7 linked regions of the Mus musculus genome follow. The protein of the gene in region 3 interacts with the protein of the main gene of each other region in a biochemical or structural test. Links are inferred from orthologs where the notes say so. Each region holds a gene or a part of one and is shown on either strand. Other genes may lie near its edges.

The links.
Region 1: of the proteins of Mapk1 (region 3) and Map3k1, one has a biochemical effect on the other in vitro, tested with the Homo sapiens proteins (3 studies listed by BioGRID). The link is inferred for Mus musculus from reciprocal best matches to the Homo sapiens genes MAPK1 and MAP3K1.
Region 2: of the proteins of Mapk1 (region 3) and Ier3, one has a biochemical effect on the other in vitro, tested with the Homo sapiens proteins (2 studies listed by BioGRID and IntAct). The link is inferred for Mus musculus from reciprocal best matches to the Homo sapiens genes MAPK1 and IER3.
Region 4: the proteins of Mapk1 (region 3) and Ptprr form a complex in vitro, tested with the Homo sapiens proteins (2 studies listed by BioGRID, with this or other methods). The link is inferred for Mus musculus from reciprocal best matches to the Homo sapiens genes MAPK1 and PTPRR.
Region 5: of the proteins of Mapk1 (region 3) and Elk1, one has a biochemical effect on the other in vitro, tested with the Homo sapiens proteins (16 studies listed by BioGRID and IntAct, with this or other methods). The link is inferred for Mus musculus from reciprocal best matches to the Homo sapiens genes MAPK1 and ELK1.
Region 6: of the proteins of Mapk1 (region 3) and Srebf2, one has a biochemical effect on the other in vitro, tested with the Homo sapiens proteins (2 studies listed by BioGRID). The link is inferred for Mus musculus from reciprocal best matches to the Homo sapiens genes MAPK1 and SREBF2.
Region 7: of the proteins of Mapk1 (region 3) and Tpr, one has a biochemical effect on the other in vitro, tested with the Homo sapiens proteins (2 studies listed by BioGRID). The link is inferred for Mus musculus from reciprocal best matches to the Homo sapiens genes MAPK1 and TPR.

The regions. Positions count from the first base shown.
Region 1 is NC_000079.6:111,760,494-111,763,993, forward strand, and holds part of Map3k1 (mitogen-activated protein kinase kinase kinase 1), read right to left. Parts: intron 3,088-3,500; coding exon 3,006-3,087; intron 2,745-3,005; coding exon 2,561-2,744; intron 1-2,560. UniProt on the Homo sapiens protein: Component of a protein kinase signal transduction cascade. Activates the ERK and JNK kinase pathways by phosphorylation of MAP2K1 and MAP2K4. May phosphorylate the MAPK8/JNK1 kinase.
Region 2 is NC_000083.6:35,820,255-35,823,411, forward strand, and holds Ier3 (radiation-inducible immediate-early gene IEX-1), read left to right. Parts: upstream 1-1,458; 5' UTR 1,459-1,464; coding exon 1,465-1,674; intron 1,675-1,783; coding exon 1,784-2,056; 3' UTR 2,057-2,657; downstream 2,658-3,157. UniProt on the Homo sapiens protein: May play a role in the ERK signaling pathway by inhibiting the dephosphorylation of ERK by phosphatase PP2A-PPP2R5C holoenzyme. Also acts as an ERK downstream effector mediating survival.
Region 3 is NC_000082.6:17,024,882-17,028,381, reverse strand, and holds part of Mapk1 (mitogen-activated protein kinase 1), read right to left. Parts: intron 2,357-3,500; coding exon 2,242-2,356; intron 2,025-2,241; coding exon 1,893-2,024; intron 1-1,892. UniProt on the Homo sapiens protein: Serine/threonine kinase which acts as an essential component of the MAP kinase signal transduction pathway. MAPK1/ERK2 and MAPK3/ERK1 are the 2 MAPKs which play an important role in the MAPK/ERK cascade.
Region 4 is NC_000076.6:116,017,110-116,021,162, reverse strand, and holds the start of Ptprr (receptor-type tyrosine-protein phosphatase R isoform a precursor), read right to left. Parts: upstream 2,801-4,053; 5' UTR 2,409-2,800; coding exon 2,351-2,408; intron 1-2,350. UniProt on the Homo sapiens protein: Sequesters mitogen-activated protein kinases (MAPKs) such as MAPK1, MAPK3 and MAPK14 in the cytoplasm in an inactive form.
Region 5 is NC_000086.7:20,947,809-20,952,072, forward strand, and holds the start of Elk1 (ETS domain-containing protein Elk-1), read right to left. Parts: upstream 2,801-4,264; 5' UTR 2,632-2,800; intron 1-2,631. Other genes in the region: protein UXT, read right to left, coding at 4,162-4,215. UniProt on the Homo sapiens protein: Transcription factor that binds to purine-rich DNA sequences. Forms a ternary complex with SRF and the ETS and SRF motifs of the serum response element (SRE) on the promoter region of immediate early genes such as FOS and IER2.
Region 6 is NC_000081.6:82,174,769-82,178,268, reverse strand, and holds part of Srebf2 (sterol regulatory element-binding protein 2), read right to left. Parts: intron 3,173-3,500; coding exon 2,951-3,172; intron 1,114-2,950; coding exon 999-1,113; intron 864-998; coding exon 682-863; intron 1-681.
Region 7 is NC_000067.6:150,409,838-150,413,337, reverse strand, and holds part of Tpr (nucleoprotein TPR), read right to left. Parts: intron 3,359-3,500; coding exon 3,161-3,358; intron 1,438-3,160; coding exon 1,330-1,437; intron 448-1,329; coding exon 221-447; intron 1-220.

The sequences.
Region 1 (3,500 bases), on a different chromosome or scaffold from region 3:
TTTCTCTTTGGAGATGGGCTCTTCTATCAGGCTAACTAGGCCATGTTGGCTGGCCACTGAGCTGGGATTGCAAGTACATCAACACACCCAGCTTTCTATAGCATGCTGGACATTATACTCAGACTCCCGTTCTTAAATGGCAAACACTTAAGTGTAAACATCAGAACTTAGTGTGGACATCTGATCGGTAGAGCGCACTATAGCCTAGAACTCCTGTACTCAAGCAATCCTCCTGTCTCAGCCTCCCAAGTAGCAGACTCTGGAGGTCATTTCGTCCATACTCACAGCCGTCCAAACTCTGCTCTCTCTCTGCCTCTGCTCCCTTTTCTCCCTTCACGTCGATGGCCAATAGCATCCAGGGAGAAATGGGCGTCACACCCTAGTTCCCTGACCGTCAAATTCATGGGACTTAGAAACTTGCGGGAATAGCTGTTGAGACCTTTCCAGATTATGTTAATTGAGGCGGGGGACCTAGCGTAAATGTGCTAAGCACCAGCTCGTGGGCTGAGTGAGGAGAAATAAGCTCTTCTCTTCTGCTTCCTGTCTGTGGATGCAGTGAGACTCTAGCTCCTCCTGTCATGCCTCCCCCCAAGGTTAGCTGCTCCCTTCAGTTGTTGAAACACATTCTTCCCTCTAGGGTTACTTCTTCCAGGCAATTGGTCACAAAAACAATAGAAATCACTAAAGCACAGCAGCACTTAGTCTGAAACGCTCGTTACTCTAACACTTAGAGCACGGCATACCTTTACTCAAGTTTGATTGGTAACCATGGGAACTAACACTGGAGAGCTTCGAGTAAGTTCTAATAACTGGGTAGCTTCATTTTCATAGTTTGCTTTATGCTTAAAAATACTAAAACCTTGCCTGGAGAGATGACTCTGCGGTTAAGAGCACTGACCGCTCTTCCAGGGGTCCCGAGTTCAAATCCCAGCAACCACATGGTGGCTCACAACCATCTGTAATGGGACCCGATGCCCTCTTCTGGTGTGTCTGAGGATAGCTACAGTGTACTCACATATATAAAACAAATACATCTTAAAACAAAACACTAAAACTGAGAGAGAGAAAAAAAAGAAAAAACTATAAAGAACTCCATATTTATTCTTGATTAAAATACTTTATAGAGAAGGAAGCAAAGTTTTATTTAAAAAAGGCAGGAAAAGCAGGAATATCAGTGGTGTGGAGACTTCAAGTCAGAATATTTTTCTTAAGAGATAAAAGCCACAGAAATTTATGTTACTTTTGGCCTGTAGGAAAAGATGAAGCAGGTGGGACCAGAAGAGAAAGGTGAGACTAGAGAATGCTTTGTTTATACTAACGAAGGGCAATGATGTAACAGAGTTGATGTTTGTGTGGCTACAGCACCAGGCCCCAAACCTCCTCTACAGGAGGACCGTAAATGGTATTGACCTCATGACCAATTAGCAAAAAGTAAGCTTAATGTCTAAGACGACGTATATACGTGAAAGCTTCTAAATATGAGAGATAAGTTTAACCCAATTCTGGGGTGGGGAACAGGTTCTGATGTATTTACATGTGTTCTGTTACAAAGAAACTCTAAGGAGAATGAGCCAGCCAGAGCCTCGAGCTTTCTGCGCTGCTTCAGCTTTAATCAACCTTCCATGATGTCCTAAGGTAAAGCCGGTGACACAGCCGGTGACAGCCTCAAAACCGTGCCATCGCATAGCTGAGAATAAACAAGGAGATGTGCCTCCGCAGGACACTGCTCACAAACCAGATGGGAGAATTAAGCTGTGCCTATAAATTCTGTGGATTTTATCAGATTGGTAAGGAGCGGGTGGCTAACAGGAAGAGTACATTTCAAGACCGCAGAAGAAGGGGCCGCGAAGCCGAAAGGCAGCCCTTTTCTATCAGAGCCATTGGATGAGTTAAGGTGCCTCACAAACAGCCCAGCACCCAGAGCCTGCCAACTAGCCACACGGTGCTATCTGACCTCACTCCTATCTCACTATACTATCTACTGGAAGCACTGGCTATAGATCCTACGTTTGAAAATAGTACAGTAAGCATTCAAGTGACCACGAAAATAATTTATAAGTTGGCCAACCAAAACCCAAGTTCACGGAGGATGAAAAACCATTCCGAGGAGGAAAAGGCAACCAAAACACCCAAGCCTGAGAAACCCGAGTCCTCGTGCGTCCTCTCAGCAAGTGCCTGCTGTGTACCAGGGTGACACACAAGGGGGAAACTGGGTTTGCACAGCAGGAAACAGGTGCACAGCAGACACACTTGCCAGGAACGGGGACTACACGGGGGAAGTCAGCTCTGAAAGGCTGCAACTCCCCCCTTGCACGGCCTCTTACGTACGTTAGGTTAGGAAGAGACACAGGAGATAGGTGAAACTACAAAGGAACATTAAAATGTAGGCTGTGCAACGTGAATATAGAAAATAATAACCCAGGAGCCAGATTTAAGGTTTTAGCATGCTAGGAGTCACACAAGCCAAGTGCTTCCCTAAATCAGAAACAGCTGAGGGACGGGGACAAACACGGGACATGGCCAACAGGACTCTCTGGGAATTACATAAAGGGATACCTACCTGAATCCATGGCTCGGCCAAATCTTTGTAAGCGGAAGGAATCTGCTGGGTTCCAAAATGAGTAAGGTTAAAACTGCTCTCCTGATTCCTTCGCTGTGATCCGGCCACGGGCTGCTGTGGGGAGGATGGCTGCTGGACAGCTCGCAGGGAGGTGGGGGACTCCACGGGGCTTGATAACTCATGGCTAAAATGAAAAATAACAAAACTTAGCCACAAGATATTAACAGATATAAGTCCCCCCATTTATTTATTTATGTTTGTTTGTTTATTTATTTATTTATTGGGACCAGGTTTGCTGTAGCTCAGGCTAGCCTTGAACCCACCATCCTCCTGCCTGAGCTCCACCAAGAGCTGGGATTACAGGTGTGTACTACCATGAAGGCCTAGAGGACATCATTTTAATTTTTTGTTGAACATATACAAATCAGATATTCAAAATTACTACCTGTAGAAGTCATGGGATCTCCACTTAGATCTACAAAGGGGACATATTAAAGGCTCTCTATTTCTTCTACACTCTTCCGCCCCTGAAAAATATAAAGGAAAAATATCATGAAAATGTCAACGTTTAAGCATAAAGTCCTAAGCATTCATGATGGTTAGTGTAAGACGGATATAGAAGGAGCCTCATACACCGCAGTGGAGTCAATCCTGATGCTTGTACAAATGCTACCATCACTCGTGATAACACTGCTGTGCTGAGCATCCCTCACAGCATCTTCCCCACTCCATTCTGTGGCTAGCCTTGCAGACTCACCCTCTGGAAAGCCTGTCCAGGTCTTCCACCCTTTCTGTCCTCACAGCTTCTGGGCTGGGAGCTTTTCAGCCTATGTTCCTTCCATTTCTACCTGCAATCCTGGATATACACTCCTTTCCTCAATCTACACAGACCCTATAGCCCAGTCTGTAGAAACTCTACATGGAGCTTAAACAGGACTCC
Region 2 (3,157 bases), on a different chromosome or scaffold from region 3:
CGTATGGGAGTCAGAGGGTGACTTTCTAAGAATTAGTTATCTTCTTTGACCACGTGGATCCCAGGGATCAAACTCAGGACATCAGACTGAGCCATCTCACCCAAATTGTTTGTTTTAAGATATCTCTCTTACTCTCTCTCTCTTTTTTTTTTCTTTTTTTTCTTTTTTAGTTTTTCGAGACAGGGTTTCTCTGTATAGCCCTGGCTGTCCTGGAACTCACTCTGTAGACCAGGCTGGCCTCAAACTCAGAAATCCACCTGCCTCTGCCTCACAAGTGCTGGGATTAAAGGCATGCACCACCACGCCCAGCGATATGTCTCATTTTTACTTTATGCATATGAGTCTTTTGTCTTTGAGTATGTATGTGTACCACATGCATGTAGATGCCTACAGAGATCAAAAAGGGAAAAGGGCATCAGATCTCCTGGGACTGGATGCGAGATGCCACTTGAGTTCTGGAAACTGATTCCAGGTCCTCTGCAAAAGCAGCAGTGTTCTTAAGAACTGTGCCACCAGTGTCTCCCCCCCCCCCCCTTCTATGTTATGGTTTTGGTTTGTTTGTTTGTTTGTCGTTTGAAACTGGAGCTTGCTTTGCTGTGTCTTCCTGCCTCCGCTTGGCAGGCTGGGAAGAGGGCTGAAGTTTCATGTTGTGATGGGTAGTTTCCACCACACTTTCACTCGGACTGTTAGAGGTGCTCAGAAATGTTGACTTCTGTGTTCAGGGAAAGCGGTCTCTCAAGCATTACGGGGATCCCGTGGGTTCCTAATGGTGCTATTGACGACGGGCACAAAGTCTCATAATTTTAGAAACTTCACTTATTTTGTGACCCACCTAGTATGGGGCAAAGGCAGGAGCTTCGGACTTCCTGTCTTCCCTCTATCCCTTTGAATAGCGTCTCGGGAGTGTCCCTAAGTAACCATTGCAGTTTTGTGTCCGTGTGCTCTGTTGAAATCTCTGTGATGTGTGTATGGTTTTCACGTGAACGGAGGCAGGCAGAGCCCGGTCTGTGGGTTCTAGTGTGTTCTTTATCTTCTTGGAAGTTTGTGCAATGACTTCCCTCCTGTTTCCTGCGCATACCTCCAAGTAAGTACGTGAATGTGTTTTCTGTGGTCCCTTGATCTTGCTGGACTTCACTAAGGAGGGTGGCTGGACCATCTGCTACGTGTCTGAGAGCCCCTCTCTAGCTACCTCATGTCCGGACGTGAGCTTACTCCCAATGTTTTTACCCACAAGCATTCACTACTCCCAGGAAAGAACGTGCACTGGGGCACCTAGAGAATAACCAATCAAGGCTCCGCCTACATTTTGCTTCCTCCTTGGAATTTCCAGCCCCTTGCAGCCAACTGCTCCCCAGCTGCGAAGGGCGGAGTTCCCCCCGGCCCGGCCCCTTCTTTGGCTCTATAAGTAGCTCTGCTTTGCGGGGGATTTGCACTCCTCTACACTCTCTGCACAACGTCTAAATTATGTGCCACTCGCGCAACCATCTCCACACCATGACTGGCCTGAGGGCCCCTTCTCCAGCTCCCTCCACCGGCCCGGAACTCCGGCGGGGCTCTGGTCCCGAAATTTTCACCTTCGACCCTCTCCCGGAGCGGGCCGTGGTGTCCACCGCGCGTTTGAACACTTCTCGCGGGCACCGAAAACGCAGCCGAAGGGTGCTCTACCCTCGAGTGGTGAGTATCGCCCGAGTGGGCATCAGGAGGTCGCGTCGCCCTGGAACTTGTAGGTAACAACTAGGCGCAGGGACCTTCGATCTGACGTTTCCCTCTTTTATCTGCTCAGGTCCGGCGCCAGCTACCAACCGAGGAACCCAACATTGCCAAGAGGGTCCTCTTTCTCCTGTTCGCCATCATCTTCTGCCAGATTTTGATGGCTGAAGAGGGTGTGTCGCAGCCCCTGGCTCCGGAGGATGCTACCAGCGCCGTGACACCTGAGCCCATTTCTGCGCCCATTACTGCGCCCCCGGTCCTCGAGCCTTTGAACCTGACCTCGGAGTCCTCGGACTATGCGCTGGATCTTAAAGCTTTTCTCCAGCAACATCCGGCGGCCTTCTAAACGCGATGGGTCACAGTCCGAAGAAACAAAGGCACCATGGATGGGTACCTGGTGCGAGAGAACGTATCCCAAACTGGGATTTCTAAGGCAACGCTAACTCAGAACACTACCGCCAAGAGACACCGCGGGTCCTGGCTAGGCCCACTGGGGACGGACAGAGACTTTCTCCGTGTCTAATTAATATTTATGTATTTATGTATATCCTCCTAGGTGAAGGAGGGGTGTATGTAATATTTATTCTAACTTATGCAGGGGTGCGAGATATGCCTCCCTGCTGTAACACAGATATTTATTACGATTTATAGGGTCGGTAAGACAGAGTTGTGGGAGGGAGGACCCGGGTGGTAGGACTCCCAGCTTGGGGATTAGTCTGGGGGGGGTGTAATAAGATTAGGGGTAACACTCCGTCTTCCAGCACTTCAACTCTGTAGTCTGTTGTAAGGCTTTGGAAGACCCTTGGGAATCCGGCCTTTGATGTCTTCTGGTTGCTTCTCAGGGGCAGCTGCAGGAGTCTTGGGTCCATGGATTGTCAGAGGGCGGCTGTCTGGGGTCGCCTAGTATGTATGTTCTGTGAACACGAATAAACTTGATTTGCCTGTCATTATTATCTGCAGTTCTCGAAGTGTATCATTCAAGCGGGGGGGAGGGGGGAGTGGCGGGAGGATGTGACTAGGTGCCCAGTCCTCACCCTTTCTTGGGTCCTGAACTCTTTCTTGGAGTTACAGACCTATATCCGGTCACCGGATGCAGTCATACATTGCTGGGTGTGCGGTTTTCCCAGTTAGAGAGTGGTGTGGCAACCTGCTTACTCATGGCAGGCGGCGGGTATTCAGGAACCAGAGTGGAAGGGCGTGGCCTCGGTTGGGGGCGGAGCTTCCACGCCAATGCTTCGAGCGGGGGGGGGGGGGGGTTGGTTGTTGGTGGGGGGGAGAATGTCTGGCATCCCCCTGGGCTGCCGAGAACTGTAGTGCTGCGGACCCGAGCGGAGCCTGCCGGGAAAGGGGCGGACCGAGGGGTTGGGAGGGGGCGGGGTCGCGTCTGTTGCTGCAACAGGGTGCGGCCGGGTGGGGGGCGCAAGTGCAGCTTCCACTAAGCCGGGTG
Region 3 (3,500 bases):
TTTCTTTGTGTAGCTCTGGCTGTCCTGGAACTCACTCTGTAGACCAGGCTGGACTCGAACTCAAGAAATCTGCCTTCTTCTGTCTCCCAAGTGCTGGGATTAAAGTCATGTAACACCACTACCCTGCTTGGCTTATATCTTAACCATCAAGTTTTCTAATGTCTAAACCCCCTAAGAGAGCACCTCTGAAAAGCAGATAAAATGCTCAGTACATGAAATACACAAGCCAATCTAAATGTAATGTGTAGTAAGTAATGGCTCATCTGGCCAAGCCTGGTGGAAGGAGAGAACCAATTCTTGCATGCTCTCTGACTTCTGAATATAAATAATAAAAAAATAAAAAAACAAATGATAGCTGGGCAGTGGTGGCGCATGCCTTTAATCCCAGCACTTGGGAGGCATAGGCAGGAGGATTTCTGAGTTCAAGGCCAGCCTGGTCTACAGAGTGAGCTCCAGGACAGCCAGGGCTACAGAGGAACCCTAACTTGAAAAACCAACCAACCAACCAACCCACAAAGTTTTTTTTAAAAGTTAATGAATCGTGTGGGTCAAGTTCCAATTTTTAAAATAGAACAATTAAATAACCACGATTCTACATACCTAACTTTGTTATAGCCACAAGATGCTAAAAGCTATTTTAGAAAACTGGACCTGGTGGTTTAGGAATATGATCCCAGAAAGTGGGAACTGAGGCCAACCTTGCTATACAGTAAGACCTTGTTATAAACAATCCCCACCCCCAATTTTGAGATTCTTGTAATTAGGAATATTTCTTTTATATTTCCAAACATTATCTGTGATAACATATTGTACTGTATCAGAGACAGAAGGAGTTTCTAAATCTTAACTCAGGTCCATGCATTTCCTGGCTATCTAAGTTAAACGTTTCTGGGCTGGGAAGATAGAACAGTAGGTAGAGTGATTGCCTGGACATAGTAAGGACCTGATTTCAATCCTCAGAGTGCACTAAAAGTCAGGAGGATAAACAGAACCCTGGGGCTTGCTGGCCAGGTAGAGACACTGTTAAAAAAAAAAAAAGGTGGATGGTGACACCTGAGGGTTTCTCTTGTCTTATAAGATTAGCAGAGTACAAACTCTCTCTCAGCTAGACACTAAAGAGGAGGGAGAGAATGAACGAACACAATAACATGTAGAAACTGAGCTCCCAGCAGATGACTACTATAAAACCATCAATGGCAAGTCAGATGAATGCACCGAAAGGAAAAGAGTGGAACCACTGACAATGATGTTGGGCTAGAGAGATGGCTCAGTGGTTAAGAGCACCGACTGCTCTTTCAGAGTCCTGAGTTCAATCCCAACAACTACACGGTGGCTCGCAGCCATCTATAATGGGATCTGGTGCCCTCTTCTTGTGTGTCTGAAGATAGCGACAGCGTACTTACATACACGCAATAGAAGCTAATTTCAAATTCTAAAAATATGCCTGCAATATAAAAACTTTTATAAAAATTAAAATACTACATTTTTTAAAGTAAAAAAAAAATCTTAGGTAAAAATGTGCATGTACATTTTTATCCATAAAGACACAAGGATGAGCTGTTATGGCAATGAGCTGCCTTCTCCTTGGCCCATTCAGATCCTCTCAACACTGTCTACTTGAGTCAACTGTGTGTCTATGTATGAGAGAGGAGAGAGGGAAGGACGGTGGAAGGAAGGGAGGGAGAGACAAACAATCTATCAGGTTCTTTTCAAGAGTGGTCTACAACCTCACCCAATGAACCAGCTTTCCAGTCTAACACATTTTAAATAAAATACCCAATAGTTACGAGTTAACTTGTTCAGTTTTCAAGCTGGAGCCTGATAATTTAGCCAATACAATAAGTAAATCTAAAGCTAAGTTTAAGAAAAAACATCAATGAAGCAAGTCTTACCTTTGGAGTCAGCATTTGGGAACAACCTGTTCCATGGCACCTTATTTTTGTGCGGGAGAGAAAGCAAATAGTTTCTAGCTTTTAAATTTATTATACAATTCAGATCTTCCTGTGATGGAGATCCAAGAATACCTATCAGACAAAACATTAGCTGTCAATTGTCAAGATTGCACACATCACCTACGGGGCAACAGAGATTCTATATTTAATGTATTTACTTTACACTACAAGTTTTTACAAAAAGATCTTTAATATTTTTAAAGTAGAGAACATGAAAACAAAACAAAGCAACCATGCTAGAGTGAGCCTGAGGTGACTAACGTAAATCCAGATCATGTTCAGAGCTTACCCAGGATGTGATTCAGCTGGTCAAGGTAATGCTTTCCTGGGAAGATAGGCCTGTTGGATAGCATCTCTGCCAGGATGCAGCCCACAGACCAAATATCAATGGACTTGGTATAACCCTGCAACAGAAAGGGGGAAAGTCAGAGTAACAGAATAGAGCTCTCTGCAGCAGTGTGCACAGATGAAAGTTTGAGCATCAAACTTTGGAAACAGTGACACAAAATGAAAACCAGTAAGTTGGTTTTCTTAAGAGATGCCATCAGGTGGTGGTGGCACACACCTTTAATCTCAGTACTCAGGAGGCAGGGGCAGGAGGAGCTGTTCTGGTTTGATGATAAACTGAATTGTGGAACTGTAGGCTGAAATAAACTCTTTTCCTCTCCAACTTGCTTTTGGTCATGACATTTTATCATAGCAACAAAAATCAAGACAGATGCTGAGTCACTATAATTACTTTACATTTATATCTTGAAATTATTAAATTAGAACTTCTGAAGTATGCCTCAGTCCATCTTCAATGTTAGAGATTTATAATTATTACAAACTTGAGCTAGAAAAAGTCCTAATGCTCATTGTTTATATCATTTAACTAGTTTTTATAAAGTTGGAAATCAACTTACATGGACAGCACTATATTCCTGGAACAACTTATCCATTTTGTAAATTAAAAAAAAAATTAGGCTGAATGTCCTCCCTCCCCACCTTAGGTGATGGTTCCAACATTCATCCCTTAGGTATATACTTTCTTTTTAAAGAAGTCTGTTAAAATTCACATCATTAGCTTATTTCAATGTAACAATATTTCAAGATGCTCCTATAGGGAACACAAGCTAAATTTTGTGGAAAGTGTTACGTATAGTAATAAATGGAAAGAGAAATATAAACATCAAGAGAAAAAAGCCAAAGTTAAGGGTGAATTGATTTTAGAAAACCAAAGAACCAGTCGTTGGACCTACAGTAATGATAAAACATGTAGAATTTTTAGTAATTGTTTCTAAATCTCTTGTAGCTGGTGCTGTGGGTCAAAGCTATTTAGCTTTAAATAAAGAGATTAATGAACACCCCCAAAATAACACACACAAATAAATAGTAATCAGAATCAGGCCTCAGGGAGAAGTGCCTGCTCTAGGTCTTTGACAGGAATGGATACAACAGTCTGGGACAGCTGATGCCAGAGAACAGCAGGAAACTGTCCAAGGCTCCTGGGGAACGGTCCAAATCCTGGAGAGAGTAGATTATAACTCAAGAGAATAAGTAATAGAG
Region 4 (4,053 bases), on a different chromosome or scaffold from region 3:
ACCTGGGTATGACTGATATCGAGCAATTAGCTTTTCAGCCAAGCAGCTAATGTGTATAGGTGTCACTGTCCTTTCTAAAAATAGAGTCAGCCTCTGCCCTGGGAATGTGGCTTTCTTTACAAGAGACAAGCTCAGATATTCAACAAGTAAAAGGCTTGGAGGCTTCTTGATCTCTGCTCTCCCAGCCACTTACTTTCTGATTACCTAAATCTGTGGGAGCAGAGGTCAAGAAAGCCACATTTATTTGAGTTCTGATGAAAAGCCCAAACAGTAATATTAGGTAGCTCTGATGCATTTTAATCTGATGACAGCCTGTGACCCACAAATTGCTGTTTAAAATTAAAAATGAATCCAAAATGAAACTGGCAAGACAATTACAATCCCAGACTTGTAATCTGCTTTGACAAGACACCATTCCAAAGCACTGTATTAAATACAAATACAATTAATGTATATGTAGCATACTGCAATTGAAACCTGAAATATGTAGTAAATCACCAGTTGCCTTATGAAACTAAACTTGGCTGGATAATCTTATTTTTAATCTTTTTTTACATGTTAAGAAGGCAAAGTGCAGATTATAGATTTGCTTTGACTTTTGTAATACACACTTTGGCAAACCTCCAGACATCATCGAGGGATGCAGACTTCATCGAGGGATGCAGACTTCCAGGTTTCACCTCTGATGAGAAAATGCTCTCTATTTCCCTTATCCCCAGGGTTCATCCATAATAAATTAGAAATGTTTTCTGCATGCTTAATATGAAGTCTATTTATAATTTCAAGCTTATAACTACTTAGTATGCATTAATTACAATCCCTAACATTTGTTTATACATAATTTTCAAGAATAACTTCACTGATGTATTTTATCAGATAATTAATTACTTAACTGGATAGCAATGAAAACTTTTTTTTTGGCAATGGCTATTTTTTCAGTTGTACCATTAAACAGTATTGGATGTAAAACAATAACAGTGTTCATGTTTTCATCATCATATATTTTAACGTTAAATAATTACATGTGGCAATGAAATGTTTGCAAATAATTTAATGACCAAATCATAGCTTTTTCTCCCACTGGTTTTTCAAGATACCAGAGAACCACTGAACACCCCACAATGTAATATTGTATCTATGATAATTAACACACATCCTTAATTATAGCCTTATTGTTCCTATACATTGTTTGTTTCTAAATTCACAATGCATTTAAATAGCAATTGCTGGGACAAAAAAAGTACTACATCTCACTCCCATCATTGCATACATGAAAAAAAAAACACTCAGTCTTTTGGAGCACTATAACAAGGATTGTAGGTGTGTGTGTGTGTGTGTGTGTGTGTGTGTGTGTGTGTGTTCACAGTAGCATAATACACTCCCACTCGGTGTACTTAGAGAAATGAATGCGTGTGAAAGAAACTCAAAGAAAAGGTCTGTGCTTGCTACAGGATCACTGCATGGACAACTGCGGTCTCGGCAGGGTTCCTGAAATCTCTCTGCCATGTTTTATTTTGGTTCCCGTGTGTGAAAATCACCTAGGGTGCAGTCCAGTGAGCCTGTCCACAGGGTTAGAGGAGCCAGGTGACACCGAATATAAAATTCCTAGGCACTTTATCAGCTGTGCATCCCTAGAACTACACAGTGATTCTTGTGTCCAATCTATTTTTATGTGTTTACACTCTCGCTGCCTCCCATCCAATCTATCCTGGGGACACAGTGATAAAAAACCCCCAGGCTTGTCAGCGTGGTTGGGTTTTTCTTTACTGACTGCGGATACTGACCGTGGTGCTGAAATAGAGAGGAGCCTCCGGTTTGAAACCTTTCCTTCCTCTTATTGGTTCAGAAAACCCGAATGACAAGAGCAGGGGCCAAAGCAGCCTAGAGCAGCATGATGAATAAACCGAGCATTTGGCTCTTAGGGGCGGAGATGCAGACCGTCAGGTTACAGACAGGGCATCCCCGTGAGCGCTCGCTACACTGGGAGATCTTATGGATGTAGCCGCTGCAGTAGGAAGGGCTTCATCCAGCAGGGTGTCTCATCTCTTTTTCCCTGTAAAATGTGCAACCAAGCGCAAAGCCTAGAAGCACAAGCAGGAAAGCTCAATGGAGGGGGGACCAAATCTATATTCACATTAAAAACTGTTCACTCTTCGCCATGCAAGATAAAGAAGGGAGAGCTGAATTTAGCCTAAGTTTTCAGCCCTAGCCTTCCAACAGGTGCACTCTCTCACCCCTCAGACATTATCCCAAATCTTTCTCTGCCAGGCAAGCTTTCCCTGGAGTCCTCTAGCGTGTGCTGTTTCCCATCTTCTCCTTAGCTTCAGCTCTGAACCCCGCAAGCCCTTACCTGCAGCATGAAGATTAAGAAGCAGGCACAGCGCAGGGAAGCCGACCGCTCTCCTCATAGTGTGTGCATTGAGGGTCAGAGGAGAAACTCCGCCGCAACCCCACTCTAGGCTAAGTGCTATTTGAGAGAACCACTGCCAAGAGTCCTTTGATCCCGGGCATCCGATGACAGGGTCCTCCGCTGGGGTACACAGAGCAGTCTGTGGCGTGCCTACAGAACCGAGCACCTGCTTCCTCTCCGCAAGGGATGGGGAGATACGAGAGTAGGATGCTGCGGGAGATGGGGACTCGAGGCTGATGGGGGCAAGACGCTCAGAAGAGGTGAGAGTTTGGCCTTCTGGAAGCCCGCAGCCGGTGGTGACAGTGGGGTGGACTCTAGTGCCAGCCTCCGAGCCAGGCAGCGCCTCTGCTGCCTGTGCAGCTAGCAGCAGCCGAGACACACCGAGGCACTGAGCATGCCCAGCTCCGGCCCTGGCTAGGGAGTTTCAAATCGAAATTCCACCTCTCCGGGTCTTAGCTGAGACTGCGAGGGGAACAAGCTCCACGAGGAGGAGGAGGGGGAGGAGGGGCTGGAGGCTAGCTTTAGGGACCTCCTAAATCTGAGGTCCTAGAGTTCCTCCTAAATCTGGGCGGGGGGAGGAGTTGAGTGGGGAGGGAAGAGGCGGGGCCAGGACCACAGAAACCCAAGGAGGGAAGTGGAGGGGGCCACTCATCTGGTTCCTTCCTCACATTTTTGAATCACGCGTGGACTCAGCTCACTGTGGCAACTAAATGCTTGCAGGCTGACCAGTTTCCCAGTATGTCCCCACCCTAGTGAAGCATAGGCAAGCAGCGAGTTCTGGCCTGGTTGGGCAAATGTTCCCACTTACAGCCTGCTGTGTTTAAGCAAACGGGATATTCCGAGAGCGCCCCCTTCTTGCCAATGAGCTCACCCCAGGCTTCTTTCTTCCAATCTTTGTACTTCCACTAAATTCAAGCCTCAAGTCTTTGACTGGAGTGCTTGAAAACAGGGAGGTCATACTTACAGGGTAGGGAAGTACACCCGTGTAATACGAAGGAAAGGAACGGTCTTTGGTGTTTTATGGAAATAATTACCTAAGATTTTATCATTAATTTAAAAAATAATGTATTGGGGTATTTTGCTTGCATGCCTGTCTGTCCACCACGCCTGTGTGTCATTGCCCTCAGAGGTCAAATGAGGTTGTTAAAAGGCTAGGATTGGATTTATGGATGGTTGCGAACTGCCACGCGGTCGCAGGAATAAGACCCGGGTCTTCTGGGAAAGTAAGGAGAGCTTTTCACAGCTGAGCCACTCAAGCCTTATCAACTTAACTCGACTTCTCCGCTCCAATCCTGTACCTTTAACGAGGCTCGCACAGTGTGCAAATATATGCACTTTTAGTTCCTTTACCTAAGTTGGTAGGATGAAGATCCTTACCATTCTAGTGACTAATTACTCTAAGGCCAAATGTCCCTCAGCCAAGCTCCCTTCAAGACTGTTCATCTTCTGCTTCTATTCGCAGGTTTCCCTTCTGCCTCTTCGGCAATGGACCTCACTCAGACCACTGCCCACCCAGTTGCTTACAAAGGTCTAAATTTGTTTTTTTCTTAAGAAGCTTTGGGCTAACCTGACATTATAATGTCCTTCCTCTTCCCCGCTTTTTGAACACCGCCACACACACACACACACACACACACACACAC
Region 5 (4,264 bases), on a different chromosome or scaffold from region 3:
ACAGCATCTCACTCTGTAGTTCAGGTTGGTCTGGAATTCGCTATGTCACCCAGGCTAGTTTTTATTTCCTGTAAATTCTCTCTTGGTCTTCCATGCTGGAAATATATAGCCGTGAGCCATCATTCATCGTCTAGATACTACACCCCCCAAGTTAATTTGTGCAGCAGATTATTCCAAGCACCTACTGTACAGAGGTATATTTTTACATGAAGGGCAGATAAAGCCTGTAAGTTCCCATAGGATGTTTATTCTGAGGAGGATAGACAGATATCTATTTATATAAGCTATATAGCATGTCTAACCATGACAGAGTATAAAGGGCCAAAGCAAGCAGGAAAGAGATCTGAACCCTGCTCGGTATACAAAATCAGATAGTCAAAGAGAGGTGGGTGTTGACTACTTTGATACAAAAAATGATATTTGAAACCTTTTTATGTATATACCTTTATACATTATATCCCAAGCACCAGTGTGACAAATACATGTTTTACTAAAATTACACTACCCAAGATGCAAAGACATGAAAGCACTCTCTGAAACATCTTTTCTATTTGTGCCTTTTCATATCACCAACATCACATTTCCTTTACGCTCATTTTATTCACAAATCAAATGACATTCTTACAAATATCTTTAGTGTGTTCCCTGCACAGGGTAGTGAAAAAATTCCTTTGGGTATGGCAAGTGTACAGTACCTTGAAAGTTACCATACAGAGATGTGGGAGTAGTGTTAATGGAGAAAGAAGAGCTAATGCAAAGGCCCTGAGGCTGGCCTGTACCGGCTGTTTTTGAGAAGCAGTGAGGTTAGCATGGCTATAGCATGGATCTGAAATGTGGAGATGAAAGAGATAAGGTCAGTGAGGTGACTTGTTTAACCCACACATTTTTTTCACACTGGAAAGGCTATAGTTCTGACTCCCCCATTTTAGCCCAGTACAGGAAGAAAGTAGTTAAGTCATTCATGTAAAGTCACACCACTGCTAGGACTTGAGCTGATGGGTCCTGAGAACAGAGTAGAATGGAGACAGCTCTGTTGTCAGAAAGAACAGCAGAAACAAAAGCTGGGTGATTGAAACTAATTTGGCTGTTAAGGAATGTGCCCTCATATGGGATGCAATGAGGTGAGAGAGGGGCATGTCAAAAGTGTTCCCCTATCTAAGTAGTTATTGGGCCATCTGTGAACCCACATGCCCTAGTTTTCTCAGTTATCTGTCTCACAGGGCTATGATGAAGACTGGAGACTATAAGCAAGCTGGAGACTATAGAATACTGCCTGGTACACAGCAAGTGTAAAGTATAAAGTTAGATCCGACTGTCATTAGCAATAGTACCACTACTATAGTTGAGAACTATAGCAAAGTAAAATGCCTAGTGGCTAAGAGTGTTTATGAGGGCTGGGCAGTGGTGGCACACGCCTTTAATCCCAGCGCTTGGGTGGCAGAGGCAGGCGGATTTCTGAGTTCGAGGCCAGCTTGGTCTACAGAGTGAGTTCCAGGACAGCCAGGGCTATACAGAGAAACCCTGTCTTGAAAAAAAAACAAAAAACAAAAACAAAACAAAAAACAAACAAACAAAAAGAGAGTTTATGAGGAACATGGCATATATTAAAAGTCCCTGGGTTTTACAAGTACACAGGACTTCCTAGGAGATGGGGGCAGAGAAGACTGACCCAATACATAGGAGGAGGAGGAGGGAAATAAAGTACAAAGCCTATCTATCCCCTTTGGGGAGGGATTGCAAGCTCTGAGGATTTGAGAGACTGTAAACACTGGGGTGGCAGAAGGCTTCTGAACAGACTCATTCATTACAAAAGTGAGATGTGGTTTAAGCTGATACCTATACAACCGCAGAGAAGAAAAGCCATCACATAATAATTAATTAAAGTGAAGGATAGGACAAGGCCATAGACTGGGCTGTTGAAAATGAAAATAAAAATTGCAAAGCACCAAACTGACCCACTGTTAAAAGGAAGCAGCTCAAAGACTGGAGTCTACAAATAAGGGAGAAAAGTTAGGGCGGTGATAACTAGAGGAATATGAATGCAAGCATGCAAACTAATTCACAGTAAGATGGGGGCAATGGGAGGAGGTGGATAAAGTCATGGGCTTATGCACTGGGGACTCAAGGGGGGCAATAATGTAAACTTAGGTGGACTCACTGTTGAACAAACAATGGGGTGTCTTAAGTGGGAACAGTGCCACAGATTGATTCACTACAATAAACATGAGGGGTTCAGTAAACAAAGCCACAGAAGGTTCCCCTTAAATTTGAGGCTAGGGGAAATGGAAACACTTTAGACACAGCTACGACTAAAGGGGGACTGGACAATGCAACAGACTGGTTTCCAATAAGTGGGGGTTGGGGAGGGCAAGACCACGGACGAGTCCATTAAGTTGGGGTGGGGAAAATCATAAGCTCACAGACAGATCCATTATACAGACAGCAGGATGTTAGCCCACGTTCAGATCTACTATAAAGGGCAAAAGGAGCAGGCAATGCACACACAGGGGCAATCAGTTGATGGTAGTGGAGCCAAATACCAGCAGGCTGGGCCAAACCACATCCCTTGCGCGGGGGTGAGGATACGTGGGGTCATGGACAGGGTCCTCCACCTTGTGGGCCTGGGCTCACCTGCGAGTGGCGCGGCGGTGGCAGTGGCAGCTCCGGGGGGCGGGGGCTCCATACGAGGCCCCACCGCCCCCCAGGCCCCGGTTCCAAGGCGGCGGCGGTGGTGGCGGCGACAGCAGAAGCAGCAACCAGAAGCCGCCCCTGCGTTTCCCCACCGCTCACGTGGGCTCTCATGGGAGGAGCCAAGCGTCCTCCTGCTTGCTGATTGGACAAAATGCCAAGGATCCTAAGCACAGGGGCCTGGGTGGTGGAGGAATACTAACAGAGCTGTAACACAATTGGCTTAAAAGGGATTGATGGACTGCGGGTGGCCAACTGAATCTATAGAGGTGTTGGGCGGCGCTAGTGCCTCACGCCGATTGGGTCAAGGAGGACTGCCAAGTGCCAAGGTTTGAGGAGGGATGGGGAGGTCGCCCAGTTCACACCGATTGGCTTAAGTGAGATTGATGGCAGACAGACAGTCCCAGAGGATGGAGGGGTGGTGATGGGCTGTTTTCAGCTGATTGGAGGATTCTCCCAGACAGTGGCCAAAACACCAAAGTAGGTGGTGCTGTACACCATACCGTTCAGCAGAAACAGGACTTATTTAGAAAGGGCCATAGCAGCAGGGTAGGACTCAACTCTGTGGAGGGGGGTAGGGTAACGCTATGGGTAATTAGCTAGGCAAAAACTAACTTTGAATTCAGCAAAAGGTGGAGGCCGGAATGGCTGCCGGATATACAGAGGAAATGTATATGAGAGGTGGAAATTAACTGTCTACAAGGGCAGAGTCTAGCCACAGTCAGTTGTAAGGGTGGATTTAGGTTCTTAGTGATCTATGACTGGACTTAAACCTAGGGACTGTAGGGGCTGTAGCAGGGAGGGCAGGATCTCTGCATACTGTTGAAAGTAGAACTATTAGAACTACGATTTAGGGACCAAGTCAAGGGTTGGGCAGTAGTGTTATTTAGGGTACCTGGATGACCACTGGACTGTGAGAGACAATAAACCTTAAGATCTGAAGTAAAAAGCTGACGGCCATGGAAACAAATTACTTTGAACTGGAACTGTAAAAATTTGTTTCAAGTGTCTCATGTAGCCCAGGATTACCTTAAACTTAAATCCTTCTGCCTCTATCTCTTGAAGTCACAGGTGTGCCACACACCTAGCTTATGTACACAGTACTGGGGACTGAATTTTAAGTTTCATGTGTGACAGGCAAGCATGCTACCAATTGAATCTCATCTTCAGCCCATTCAGTCCATTCTTTATGGTAAGACAAAGGGCACAGATACAAATATCTAGGAAAAGGAATTGTGAGGAGCAGGGCCAAGGTTCTAAAGGCGACAAAAGAGAGTAAAGCATAAAGTCAGGAGAAAAACACAAGTTCTAGGCAAGACCTCTAGAACGTTTTAGAGGTTCTACAGAAAGGATGGGTCTTCCAGTAATTTTGGTCTCTAGGGCACTTAGTAAATTAGTGAGAATTAGGGAAAAAAGGACTATGTGATTCCAAGGCATTCAGGTGCTTTAATATTGGAGGCTGGGAAGATGCAGTCAATGGGGAGATGGCTCTGGGAAATTCTGCAGGCCTTGTAGTTCTCTAAGTCCCTGTAAAAAGAGGACAACGTATACTGAACCGAGGCAGGGTCCAGGTCCT
Region 6 (3,500 bases), on a different chromosome or scaffold from region 3:
TGTTTCTGGAGTCAGAAAGACTCCAGTTGCAAGACGCAGGACAGGATTCAGTGTTTCCAAAGGTTCTGGGAAATCACTGTGCTCAGGGCCTCTGCAAACTAATTCCATTAAAACTTCAATTGCCAAGGGCTCTTTTGTTCAGGGACCATTTAAGAGCCCTCAGTTGGTGGAATGCTAACTGTTAGATTGCAAATTGTAGTTGTTTCCGGAAAGAGCACCAAGAGGCGGCCTTGCTCTAATCGAGCAGAGCAGCCTAGAAAGTGGTCTTGCCAGGCCCATTAGTGGCAGGCAGGGAGAGTAATGGAGTGCGTCCAGGGGCTCCCAGAGCCCACCCGCATGACAGCTGCTCTGTGTCCTCATTCCCTGTCTGACTTGCTAAGTCTGAGGGTCTGAGGGTCTGTGGCTTCTTCATCCAGAGGCCCTTTTCTAGGGGGATGGGGGTGGGGTGGGGGGAGGGTGGTCTTCCTCAGCTTGCTTGGAACTCAAGATCCTCTGCCAGGCTGGGTTACAGGCATGGACCATACTGAGCAGCTCCCACCTCACAGACAGCTAACGGCACAGGGCATTCAGCCCCCTGTACCTTACACCATTTAGACCGCTGGTTGGGTCAGCGCTCTGTGGCCACTATTCCTTTACAGAAAATGAGAGATTCTGAGGGTGAGACATTTCAGAAGCACATACCTTTGCGTCATCCAGCAGAGGGCTGCCCGGCTCAGAGTCAATGGAATAGGGAGAGAAGCCGGCCTGGGACCCGGAGTCGGAGGCCGGCGGAGACATCAGAAGGACATTCTGGTTAAAGTCATCAATTTTCAAGTCCACATCACTGTCCACCAGACTGCCCAGGTCGATGCCCTTCAGGAGCTCTGCAAAGACAAGTCCCTCCATTTTTATAAAGTCCCACATGAGAGGGGCCTCACACACATGTGCGTCCCACCTCTCAGTGCCTGCCACAGGACTTCCCCTGTGAGGTCTGCTGGCCCTCCGGCAGGCAGACTTACTGTTTTTCTGATTGGCCAGCTTCAGCACCATGTTCTCCTGGCGCAGCTTGTGATTGACCTGCTGCAGATATTTGATGTAATCAATGGCCTTCCTCAGAACGCCAGACTTGTGCATCTGGAAGGAAGGCAGACGAAACACAGTTACGGCCGTGCGTGTGGAGCTGAGAGAGCAGAGCCCCACAGTCCACGCGTGGGAAGCACAGCTGCGAGGTGCCAGGGCCCGGCTCATGGCTGGCTGGTGGACACAGAGCTCGCCCTAACTCTGGACCTCTTCTTTCTTTCCTTTCTTTTTTTTTGGTTGGTGGGGTGGTGATAGTACCAGGTGCTGGGTTTCAGACTCAGGACAAGCGTTGAGATGCATATTTAACATATCAAAGTGGGCCTGGCCTCTAGGTTCTCCCAGCAGCTCTTGGTCCCTACCCGTTACAGGGCACGGCTGCTATACCCCTTACCCAGAGGTTTTTCCCTATATAACAGAGACATTTTTGTCTCCTTCTCTCTGCCGCTCTCTGCATTTTCTCTCTCCCTGTATGTGTGTTCAAGCTTCTCCCGTCCCCACCCCTAACCCCTTGGCCTTGCCAACTTTCCTGGCTTTATTACTTGGGATCAGTGAACCCACTGGAGAGCTGGTTCCCATTAAACCCGCCTTTGTATACGCTAATCTGGCCTGAGTTGGCTCATTTCACTGGCCAAGACTAACACATCACTAGGGACTGGACCTAGGCAACGGACCCAAGGTCTGGCCCATTCTAGCTCTATCATGAGCTAAATCCTCACTTCTCCTAATCCTTAACATGTGAATAATGGCAGGATCTAAGCCATAGGCTGGTAGTAAGGTCTTCATGAGACAATACATGTTAAGAGTTTATAGCCTGGAACCTGGCATAAAACTGACATACAATAATTATTTGACTATAATAATCCACATAATAATCTAGCATAAAAACAAACTTTAAGGAAATCAAGTGGCAAACAAACAAGAAAAAAAATAGCACCTCCCACTTCCCAGGAGACACATTCATTAAAAAAAAAAAAAAAGATATATGCAAAAAAAATTAATTTCCTCTGCTTTGCTCTTGTGCAGAGTTGATCTGCACTCTTGCTTCTGTCCTGAAAGGGAGCACTATAAAATATGTCAAGAGCCAGGCGGTGATGGCGCTTGCCTTTAATCCCAGCACTCGGGAGGCAGAGGCAGGCGGATTTCTGAGTCCAAGGCCAGCCTGGTCTACAGAGTGAGTTCCAGGACAGCCAGGGCTACACAGACAAACCCTGTCTCAAAAAAACCCAAAAAAGTCAAGAATGTCCTAAGTTACCTCCAAGGTACACATAGTCCTATACCTGTCAACAAGGTAGGATGCGCTATCTCCCTCTTTCACCGCATGTCACACAGCACAGGTGACAGAGTAAATGTACTAGGCGTCATCGCATCACCAACCTTCAACACTCCATTTATGCTAGATAATTACTCATTAAAGATTAATTTATCTTTATTTTATGAGTATTTTGCCTGCCTGTCATGCCTGCCTGGTGCCTGAGACACACAGAGGACACGGGACCTCAGAACTAGGATTACAGCCACTGTAAACAACCACGTGGGTGCTAGGACAGAACCCAGGTCTTCTGAAGAGTGTCACCTGCTCTTCTGCTGACCCGCCTCTGAAAGCCTCCTCATTCATTCATTCATTCATTCATTCACTCACGGAACTGACTTTTAGTCCTGACTGGCCTAGAACTTGTAATCTTCCTGCCTTGTCTCCCGAATGCCAGGATAATAAACATATGCCACCATATCTGGGCAGTATTCTACAATCCTGTTAAACACCAGGATTATTCAACAAAAATCCGTCTCTAACTTCCTTTTGTGTCCACTCATTAAGGCTGCACCTTCCCTAACTGCATGACAGAGACCAAGGCGACACTGGGCCTGAGTCAGTGCTCTTCCTGGCTCTTACCTTGGCATCTGTCCCCATGACTAAGTCCTTCAACTCTATGATTTTGTCGTTGATGGAGGACCGGTAGCGCTTTTCAATGATATTGTGTGTTGTCCGCCTCTCTCCTTCTTTGGGAGGATCCAGCTGCTTCACGCCGCCAGGCACTTGCTTGATAGGAACTTTCTCTTGCCCCATCATCACAGGCATTGTGGTCAGAATGGTCCCGTTGCTGCCCACCAGGGTCTAGAACATGAGCAGAATTTCCTTTTGTTAGTTTAAATACAGTAACCTCACAACACGAAGTGGGCTGCTCCTGCATATGGGGTATCACCCAGGAGTGCTTCACGTTGTCTGATACCCTCTTGGGCTAAGGAGGTCAGGTCCTGAGAGGCCCAGAGCTGTGCACATCCACTCCCATCTTCCTCTCAAGATCACTATTAATAAACAGCACCACCAAAAGATTAGCTGGGCCTTAACTTCTGGCCTGGGGCGGGGGCGGGGATGGGGGTGGGGGCGGGGTGGGATTGCTAGGAAAATGCTGTATGGTTTTGCTGTCAAACTGTCAGTAACC
Region 7 (3,500 bases), on a different chromosome or scaffold from region 3:
TTTCCATGAAGACTTCTTTCTTGAAACTTAAATGAAGTCTGCCAAGTTTACCTATTTTAGCACTAGTCATATTAAACGGAAGTTTACCGCCTTATTAAAAATAATTCCATAGAATCGTTGCTCAGTTTCCCTAAGCACCTCCATTACCCAGCATCTCTAAGGACACACTAAGCCCAGTACCCAGTGCTTAGCCATGGTCACTGCCATGGTCACTGCTTACTTAGAGGAAGTTGTCTCTTGCTCTTCTCGTTCCCTGGTTTCCCCAAGTTCTCGAAGAGCGAATAGCAGACGCTGATTCTGCTGCTGAAGCTCTTCGATGTTCCTGTAAGATACTAGGTGCTGCGAAATCACTTCAGACGAACTACTGATGTCAGCAGAGCTGACCTCCTCATCCCGAATTACATGGTTACCCCTGGCTTCTTCAAGTTCCATCAAGAGCACTCTTATCTAGAAACAAAAATTTAATGTTATAAAACCCAACCAACCAAAGCTAATATATAGTATTTTTAAAAACATCAAAATCTATCACTTTAATGCTAAAAAAAAAAAAAATCTAAGAAAAGATTTTAACGAAATAGCTTTAAAAAAAAAAAATTTTTGGTTTTTCCAGACAGGGTTTCTTTCTCTGTATAGCCCTGGCTGTCCTGGAGCTCACTTTGTAGACCAGGCTGGCCTTGAACTCAGAAATCTACTTGCCTCTGCCTCCCAAGTGCTGGGATAAAGGAGCATGCCACCACTGCCCAGCTGAAATAGTTACTTTTAATATAAAGAAAACTTACAGAAAGTAGAAAAATACAATTTCAGAATAATGGCTATTTTTTTAACATGAAACTACAAGTAACTTATTTAGTGCTTGTTTTATATGGCAGGTAGAGGAAGAGCAGACATGGTGGTGTGCACCTAAAATCCCAGCACCCAGAAAGATGAGGAAGGGTTGTTCAAGTCCCCTTCTCAAGAAATAGCAGTAGTGAGTAATGCATAGTGTAACCTAATTTTAACAAAAACACACTTATATATTCAGATATGTACTTACTGATACATGAATGGCATGAAACACATACACGCCAACTTGCTAACACTGGTTACACTCTTAGGACATGGGGAACAACAACAAAAAAACGCTTCCTGTTTCAATTGTTTGTGTACTTATTACAAATGTCACCAACAATGTGAAAATCAATCAAAAATCTCTGGGAAGACAGTGACAAGATGGTATGTAAGTGCTACAGGACGAGAATACATACGCCTTTCCTAGAAGAGACGTCGTGAGACATAAGATGCAGACTCAAGCATCACAAAGAAACTGGAAATCACACAAAATGTCCTAACCTGTTGCGAAAGGTCTTTTATTTGTATTTCCATTCTCTGATTGTCCCTTTCAAGTACCGATGAATGTTTGTTGGCTTTATCAGTGTCCTCCTGCAATCGCTGAATCTCCTTTAAAATATAAACACAAGGGAAAACTCAGTGTCACCCAGGATATAAATAATAATAGAAATATAGTGTATGTGTATATATATATATATATATATATATATATATATATATATATATATATATATATGACAATAAAAAGCATTTTCTACCCTTAACAAGTTGTCAAATACAACTATGCAAAAATAAGTATCAAATTCCCAGTGCATTTCCAAATGACCCCAGAATCATGATCAGAAGGATCAATGGTAATCACAGTTAGACTGAAACACTTGAGATGTCAAAACTAAATATGCTGGGTAAGACACAGAAGACTTCATTAAAAGTCTGTGGCAATTTGCAAAGAAGCAGCAACCAAAACAGTACCCACTTAGTAGGTGAGCTCTGCAGTATCCATAGTTTGAGGTGGAGTTTTGAGAACCCTCCCATTAGCACAAGATCAGATGGATTAAAGGGAAATCTGTGTTCTATTTCCAATTTATGCATATTTAGGTTCGTAGTTATTTTCATATACTTTTAAATATATCTCGTTAGTTCATACACCTTTAAGAAGCTATGTGTAGGTGCAAGAGGAAACGTGAAAATAGAAGTATAGAAATAGTCAGAAAAGACAGCACTCATAAACCTACTAAGTACAAACAAGGTGAATTAAGATGCAAAGTAGATGCAGTGGGATTGCGATTAGAACCCTACAAATTAAGAGCTGAAGATTTACACTAGAAAACACATTATTCATGTTGTGGATAGAAAATGCCAGTTATTAAAAAAAAATGAAGAAATGACCATTAAGCCCTTTTATTATTCTTTGACAGTGAAGGAACAAACTGTTTTATAAGTTGAAAGCTGCTATTCTAATTGATGTCTATCTGCCATTTAACTAACGACATGCACTTCACATACCAAGAAGATCAAGGCAATATCCTATTAACAGAGAAACTTAAAAGATCTAATTGGTCCCAAGAGACCTCTCTGAAAATAGAAATACAAGATTAATTTGTCAGATTGCCAACAGTCCCTTAGGGCACAATGAGTAAAGTTACACTGCTGTAAAACACTTTATTAGCTACTTCTCAATGTCAGCGGCTTCTATATTATAACAGAAGATTTAATTCAGAATTAAGGATACAATTTACTCAAATTCTCCAAGAAAAAAACATATCAGTTAATAGGAGATATAAATGTATTTATCTACATTTCCTCAATAAAATTCTCTTAAATCTTCAAGACTTCTCTGTAAAAAGCTGTACCATAAAGGTAAATTAGAGTATAAACTCTTACATCATTAAGTAAAACATACCCTCTGATAGCAAAAGGGTAGTCACGAACGTGCAACCTTTAACATGGCAAAGGAGCTATTATAAAGTAATGCATACTAAGGCAGGCTAAATTTTGAATTGATGTAAAAATCTGTGACCTAATATCAAGCTATGATTATTCTAGACAGGCTTATCAAACCCTCTAAGAAAAAAAATGGTTATGCTAAATTAGCCAACATTCTAATGCACTATGAGAATATTTGAAGAGTGGTCCAAGAAGATTTCCCTCTCAATCACCTTAACATATGTAAGAGACTCTCACAATTTAGCTGAGTCAAAGTCAGAATTTGTCATCGTGGGAGTGAAAGCCTCAAGCTTTTCTAGTGCAAAGAGTGTTATGAGAAAAGTAGCCAGTACAAGATGATTCAGTAGTAGCTGTGCCTAAAGGTCAAGTTGAGAAATGAACCAACCTTCATAGCTTGCTCAAGCTTTGCAGAAAGACTGGCCACAGCTTTCTGTGCACGCTCATACTCTTCGCGCTGGCGTTTCAAAATCGGTGCTTTGGCTTCCACTTCTTTTACTATCTCATCCAGATACTTATTAATCCTTTTATTTTCTTGTTTTTCCAAAAGCAACTGATCCTGAGTTTCCACATAAGCATTATATAGCTGGGAATGGAAAAGGTGGTCATTTCACTAAGTTGAAGTGTAATGACAGGAGTATGTAGTTTATGGAGGCTCATAATGAACATACCACTTACATAAAAGTATTTGTTATTTGTAAGTAGTTATTTGCCACATATAACTACTT